Astyanax mexicanus: one gene and its partner. The protein of the gene in region 2 interacts with the protein of the main gene of each other region in a pairwise test. Links are inferred from orthologs where the notes say so. Each region holds a gene or a part of one and is shown on either strand. Other genes may lie near its edges. The genes, in order: ptpn21 and cytoplasmic tyrosine-protein kinase BMX.

What was found.
Region 1: the proteins of cytoplasmic tyrosine-protein kinase BMX (region 2) and ptpn21 interact in binary tests that used the Homo sapiens proteins (3 or more experiments, as listed by UniProt). The link is inferred for Astyanax mexicanus from reciprocal best matches to the Homo sapiens genes BMX and PTPN21.

What each region holds. Positions count from the first base shown.
Region 1 is NC_064421.1:15,928,832-15,932,759, forward strand, and holds the start of ptpn21 (tyrosine-protein phosphatase non-receptor type 21), read right to left. Parts: upstream 2,850-3,928; 5' UTR 2,678-2,849; intron 1-2,677.
Region 2 is NC_064430.1:16,759,624-16,763,551, reverse strand, and holds the start of cytoplasmic tyrosine-protein kinase BMX, read right to left. Parts: upstream 2,572-3,928; 5' UTR 2,493-2,571; intron 2,084-2,492; 5' UTR 2,076-2,083; coding exon 1,935-2,075; intron 67-1,934; coding exon 1-66. UniProt on the Homo sapiens protein: Non-receptor tyrosine kinase that plays central but diverse modulatory roles in various signaling processes involved in the regulation of actin reorganization, cell migration, cell proliferation and survival, cell adhesion, and apoptosis.

The DNA of each region.
Region 1 (3,928 bases), on a different chromosome or scaffold from region 2:
TGAATGAAGTTACTGAACACATGTTCTCATATGCACCTCCTTAATGCATTTCAGCACCACTGTTACTGTCAACTATAAACTCGCCTAAAACTGCATGCCCAGGTGAGCATCACCTCTAAAGATGTATAATAATATCAATATTTTACAGGCATCAGAAAAATTACTTTATTTGTATTTTTATAAAATTGTAACCATCTGCACATACATTTTGCAAGCCAAGTGGATTTATCCACACTCTTCTTAAATATGTTATATATGTCTAACTTATATGTATAATGTATTGACATATGTACAGAAAAAAAACATCTGGCACTGGCATCAGCCAATATAAATACATCCCTGGTCTTGGCCAGTCACAGTAACTACACGTTACTGACCTATCCCATAATATTTTGACCTGACCTCCACAAATATATAGTTAAAAGAATAATTGATTATAGCGACACACTTACCCTGATCACAATAATTGATTTAATAAAGAATAACACAGGCAAGCAAGCAACAACCAAATATTACTGAAATTACATTAATTCAAATCACATCTCTCTTCTTTAAGGAGTCTGTCATCTGAACCAATCTTTTTTAAAAGATCTATTAAAATGCACACTGGATGCCTACAGATAGATATTGGATTTCTTACAATAGAGCGTAGTAGATAAAAAGTTACTACTACTGCACATTATAGATTACTGCAGAAAACAAAACGACAGAACTATATACAAGGCTAATATTATTCCTGACATGAGGAAAAATAGCAATGAAAAATGCAGCAAGTTTTTCACATTCAAACTCACATCTATGTTAACATTCTTGCTCAATAACTGTGCTAAAGGCAAATCATGAAATGTTGCACGGGGTGGATTTTTATTGTAGCACAAGAGAGAGCCACATAGAAAGAAAAATACCTGTCTTTGATGAGGGACACAAACAAAATGAGCATTTAACCTATTAGCCAGATAACCCGCATCTAGGTTAAGAATGTCAGAGACTGAGAGAGGGAGAGGTATTTACAGTATGTTTGTTATCTGCCATCACTACCCTTTCACAGCACATATTCATACATAGTTAACCTACCTTAGCCAAATATTTAGTTAGATCTATAGCTCTGCAAAATAAGAGCCCACTTCAGTTTCTGGATCAGTTTCTCTGATTTTTTTTTCAAATAAAAATATTGTCATTTACAGCATTTATTTGCAGAAAATGAGAAATGGCTGAAATAACAAAAAGATGCAGAGCTTTCAGAATTCAAAAAATGCAAAGAAAACAAGTTCATATACATGAGTTCAGAAATCAATATTTGGTGCAATAACCCTGTTTTTTAATAATAGTTTCCATGCATCTTGGCATATTCTCCTCCACCAGTCTTACAAACTGCTTTTGGAAAACTTCAAGTAGTTCAGCTGGTTTGATGACTGTGATCACCCATCTCCCTCTTGATTATATTCCAGAGGTCTTCAATTTGGTAAAATCAAGAAAAAACATCCTCATTAAGTGATCTCTTATTTTTCCAGAGCTGTCTTTATACAGACATGTGCTTCTGTCAGAAACATGTAAGGAACTATTTTATGCTGCAGTGATGTACATATTTTAAACTGTTCTTTAACTGGAATAAAGGGTGTGAAATGTGTTAAATATAAAAGCTGCATGTAAGCTTGAAGGGGCCTGCTTACTATTAGGTTAAAATAAAAAGTTGAAATTGAAATTAAAGGAAAGTTATTATATACAAACCTAACATCAGAATCCAAAAATCATTCATATTTGAAAATTATTGTTTTTTTTTTTTTTTTTTTTTTACAATATTGCCCAGCCCTAAAACATATGTATTTAGAATGCATTTTACCTTTATTAAATATTACACGTTTTCATACTATAACGTTACCTTATTATTTATGAATGTATGTATGTGTTTATTTATCTTTTATATAATGTTGCACGGCATATCTATGTCTAAAACAGTGAGGCATACAAATGGGTCATATATACAACTATGTAACTCTTTTCTACTTACATTATTCTTCCATGTTTCAAAAAATTCTCTTGCTGTAAACTTACTAAAACAGTGTTTTTATAGTCGTTACTCTGTGCAGTTAGACCACTCATTTTTCTTTTATTAATCATATTAATATATTCTTGGTTCTCATCTCTGTTGCTGGAAATGTTTTGGGCGCTTTACTGGGTTTTAAAATCTAAATATAAGTTTGCTAGTTAATTTCACAGGGACTCTCAAGCTTCCAGAAATATATAATGATAGTATTTTTGTCATAAAGGTAAGTTAAATTAAGTTGGTTTAAGAAGTCCGACAGCTAGCTAACCTCGGCTAACCCTGGCTAACAGACGCATATCAACAAGTGGCTGAGCCTGTAGTCACTCTGAATCACGGGAACAGCGAAAACAAACTCGCTCCATAGGTCTGAGCGTGACCCAACACTGTTCAGCGCTTTCTAGAGCAGAACAAACTTTTATTTGCGATGAATAAAGTGCTCGCCCTGATCTCTGTGGTCTAAAGATTAACTTCTCATCCCCCAAAATCCACCTTAAATCCTGTCGAAGCTAGTTAATTCTGAGCTAGCCGACCAGAGTAATGGCTGAGCGCACTAACAGCTAGCTTAGCTAAACTAACGCTGCATTTAAAGTGTGCTGGTGTTCACTAACGGAGTCTAACACTACCAGCTCTTACCGCACACACGTCCCGCCGTGGGCCAGCATTGAACTCACACTCCGGGTCGAGTTTTTAGACGGCTGAGGAGCTGCGAATAGAGTCCAGAGCTGCTGAAAGTTTGTGTAAAACCCCGCATGTTAGACTCCTACTGCTCCCAGGTCACACTGGCTGCGGCTGCCATAGCTACTTCATTTCCGGTGTTCTGTCGAGTTGTGCTACCCATCGAAATGTGCATCGAAATGCATCAATCCTTTTTTAAGTAATATTTTTTTAGTAATATAGCAAAATATAGTAATATAGTATAAAGTAATATAGCACAATATTTTATAGTATAGCAGAAGGAATCTATTGTATGTTGCAGTGATGTACATATTTTAAACTTTTCTTTAATTGAAATAAAGAAAGTTATGTTTTCACTGTGTTAAATATAAAAGCTGCATGTAAGCTTGAAGAAGTCTGCTTACTATTAGTTTAAAAGAAAAAAAGTTGAAGAATTTTTTTTAGAGGAAATTATAGCTCGCGCAATGGTGCTGTCTGTCTGTTTACAAATGTAAAAACTTTTTACAAATTAAAAAAGTTGATATATGAGAACCTAAAATCATAATCGATAATCACTTATATATTTTGAAAAATAGACATATGTATTCATTTATTTATGACAGTTTATAATAATAAAAGAAACAATAACTGGACAATGAAAAAAATGCGGGTTATAATTGCCCCTATTAACTTTAAACTGTATCCTGATCTATTGAATCAAGCATTCCAAATACCCAACAGAAACATGTTTAAATACTGGGCTTTTTCTGGCATTTTATCTTTAAATATCACTGGGGTAGCATAGTTTGACAGGGTGGCATAACTCGACAGAACACCGGCTGGACTCCAGAAATCTCCTACACGGATTCATCCGCGGATCTAGCTCTTCTCACTGAGTAAACCTGCCGGGATTTCTACTCAAACCGTGTCCACACAACACACGCAGCGCTCTTAATCACGTGTCTGTGAACGCCGGGAGAGGCACAAACACTGCGTGTTTGTGTAAAACAGCGCAGCAGCACTTTTTGATCAGTGTGTCTGACATCAGACAGCAGGAATGCCGCGCAGGCAGACTGGAGGAGATGGGAACTTCGATTCAGTGATTCGATTCCTCCTCACCGTCCGTTTAAATGAATCGAGCGCCAGATGATTCGTTATCGTCCCATCCTTCTGACGGTTAGTGGCTGGGATGGCCCTAAAATAATATCACGATATTTTAGGTAGTGCAGG
Region 2 (3,928 bases):
AGGCTCAACTATCTCCACACAGCAAATTTTCTCTGCTGCCACCACTCCCTTCTTTGCCTTCCGCTTCTGCAACAATGAGAAAAAGCACACAATAATGCATTGAAAAAAAAAATACACACAAAAAGGCTTGTCTGAATAAATATTCATGCATATGCATTAAATTCAAAAATATTATCTTACCCCCTGCATAAAGCATAAAGTAGCAATTAAATTCTTCCTCAGACTGAGAGGGGAAAAACCTTAGAAGGAACCAAAACTCATAAGGAGAACCCTCCTTTCCTTGATGACACCAGACAGCGGAACAAATAACAGAACAGTTGTAAGTCTTCCTGCCACATCTTCCTTTTGCTATGCTGTGCTTATGCTGCTTTCAAGTCATGTCAGAAACATTTTAGAAAATGATTGCACATAATTTCCACCACGAGTTTGTATTTATCAGTGGGAATGATATTGGTGGAATTTTAATAAATAAATCTGGGAAATATCAGATAAGTATATGCTACTGAAACATCTACTGGATAAAAATATCTCTTTATTATATTAAATGTACTATTTCTTAATGTGTTTTGTAGTAACTGGAAAAATAATTGGCAACAGGAAGACAGAAGTAAAAAATAAATAAAAAAGCATTTATAACAAGTCGGTTTGTGTTGTTTCCAACCAAATCAACTGGAACAGAAATATATATTTAATCCCTGCTTTATTATAGTCAGCATTTTACTTGTAACATTAGCCAGGGGTCTGCAATTAAGTTTGGCCACTGGACAGATATTTTCCAAGCCATTATATGGCTTGTATGATGTGTAATAGGATGGAATGCTACAGACTAGTAGCTCTCCAGCCCAGAGGGTTGTTGAACCCAATTGCAGAACGGTTGAATTCAAAGCAGGTAAACAAAAAAAGAAGAAAGGAAAAATAAATAAATAAACACAATACTCCTCACACGGGATTGAACCCGTGTCGTCAGGGTTAAGGTCCAATACACTACCGCTGCCCCGGCTAGTGAATTGGGACACGGCCAAGAAAATACGCCCTTATAAGGAGATAGGGAGCCCTAGAATGGACGGGAAAACAAGAACAAGCAGAAACTCACGCTGAGCACAACAGAAAGTCAGGGGAGGAATGTAAACAAAAGTTTACCAGAGAAGCATTTTATTTGTAATTTATTTAATTAGTAGTGGATATTTAGTAGAATTAGTAAGTAGTATATATGCCATGTACTGTTATATTAAAGACAAATAAATAAGCGGACAAGCAAATCAACAAATAAGTAATTCAATAAATAATAAATAAATAAAAAATAGAGTATGGTTAATAGAGTAAGGCAACACTATGCCATAGGATTAAAATCCTACTTAAGGAATAAAAACCTTACTTAAGCCCTATCTGGACGGGATTATTTCCTCTGGGGGACGTCTATGAAAAAAAATATTTCACACTTTTACTTTTACAAATTTAGCATCCAGACTGCAATTGAAAAAACTGTAGGACCTGTGAGTTTTTTGGCTTTCTCGGTCACATGACATCGTTTTCAGTAGCTCCTCTATTTTCATTTGCTTTTGTGTTTGCTTTTTCTCCGTGGAAACGCACGCCCAAAGTGTAATTATGGTGCGTGGCAGTGAACAAATAGCTATTTTATTAAACGCAAGCTGATGAAACACCGTAACGAAAAACAGTAGATAATTCAGCCTGTAATTTTCTTAGAGGACGTCTGAGAAAAACACATACATGGTCGTTCCGGATGGGTATAAAATCATAGCGAACCACCTACAAAGAGAAAATTGCCTCAGGACCCCCTGAGAAACTAATCCTGTCCAGGTAGGGATTTAGTGTGAATAGGCCTTGAAGGGCTTAACTGTAAACAACAATCTGCTCCTTTCCTATTCTATATTTATGAACTAATAAGCCTGAAAAAATGCAATGAAAAGCCATACCCCCTTTTCATGTTCGTAGTAACTCAGAGTCTTATTGGTCAGTATGAAGAGCCGCTCCTTATAGTTTTTGGGTGAGATTTTCTTCTTCTGCTGAGACATCTTCAGCAGGATGCCTTCTTTAACCACCCCTTCTTCGCTCATCAGGACAACTGGACACAGGCACCAGAGAATCACACAGAGACACACAGAGAATAAGACACACTACTAATAAAACTTTGTTGTTAGAGTGCTTTACAACAATGTTTATAGCAGCATAGAGAATGATTGCTTTATTACGTGCAATTAAGCAAAACATCAACATCCTTTCAGCTGTGTGCACCTCTACCTCTAACTGTCATAACCTGAGAAAACAGTATTAAGCAGTATACAACCCCCGATTGACCATACTTAACACAAAACACCACGCTCAGTAGAATAAAAACGAAAAAAGGAAAACACTGCTGTTTTACATTCCCTGCATATTTCCACTATCACAACTAGGAGCATCAGTGTATCATTGGTATAAAGTCTCACAATAAATTAAATCACATTAAGGTTTTATAACGGTAAATATCATACCTGTGCCGGCTGAGAAACGATCGTCTGGCCTTTTGGGTCCCGAATTAAACTATAGCTGCAAAAGCCTGGTGCAGTTTCCTGATATCTGTTAAAAGAAGGTGCTGCTTCACAAAGGCCTCTGTGTGGCAGCAGGGCACTGTTTGCTTAATGTATTTGCATGACCCTGACACTATTCAGAACAAACACTAACTTCCTTTGTATGAAACCACATACCTACACAGGTCCATCAGAGGAATACATAGGTATGCTAAGTAAAGAAAAAAGAAAAAAAAAATGCTTGCAACTCTTCCAAATTAAAATTATTTTTTGTATCTTTTTTCCAACTCTGAATCTAATAACAACTGTGTTTAACTATTCAAAACATGCACTGGTCAAACTCAGCTTTACTTAAAAGCTGAAAGCTACTTAATTTTTTAAAAGGTTTCTAAACTGAAGTTCGTTACCAAACTCATGTGAAATGATAGCCTGCATGTTCAATTATTTGATATTTATGACAAAAAAAAAAATCACTCCTGTTAATGGCATTCATTCCTGTTACTGGTAATCACTCATGGTACTGGCACTCACTCCTGTTACTGGAACTTACTCCTGTTACTGGCACTCATTCTTGTTAGTTTTTATGTTTGGAGTAATTTTTAGGATGGAATCAATTACATTGTCATTATACAGGGGTTGGACAGTGAAACTGAAACACCTGTCATTTTAACGTGGGAGGTTTCATGGCTAAATTGGAGCAGCCTGGTGGCCAATCTTCATTAATTGCACATTGCACCAGTAAGAGCAGAGTGTGAAGGTTCAATTAGCAGGGTAAGAGCACAGTTCTGCTCAAAATATTGCAAAGCACACAACATTATGAGTTACATACCAGAGTTCAAAAGAGGACAAATTGTTGGTGCACGTCTTGCTGGCGAATCTGTGACCGAGACAGCAAGTCTTTGTGATGCATCAAGAGCCATGGTATCCAGGGTAATGTCAACATACCACCAAGAAGAACAAACCACATCCAACAGGATTAACTGTGGATGCAAGAGGAAGCTGTCTGAAAGGGATGTTCGGGTGCTAACCCGGATTGTATCCAAAAAACATAAAAACCACGGCTGCTCAAATCACGGCAGACTCTCCTGTTTCCACAAGAACTGTCTGTTGACATTGTTTATCGCAATTATGTCTGGAACACAATGTTGTCTAAACAAAAACGGTTATCGTGACAGATAATGCAGAAGTGTTAATTAAGTCAGGAGTCCAAATATTGCATTATCTTACTGAAGTATAAATTTAATTATAATAAAAAAATAATATTTTTTTATATCTACTTCTTACATTTACACACAATTATCTGTACTTTCTATGCATTATCAGCTCCTGTGGCATTAATGTCCTTTATGGCATTATTCCCTTACATTACTTTTACTTTTTATACTTAAAGTAGGTTTGAA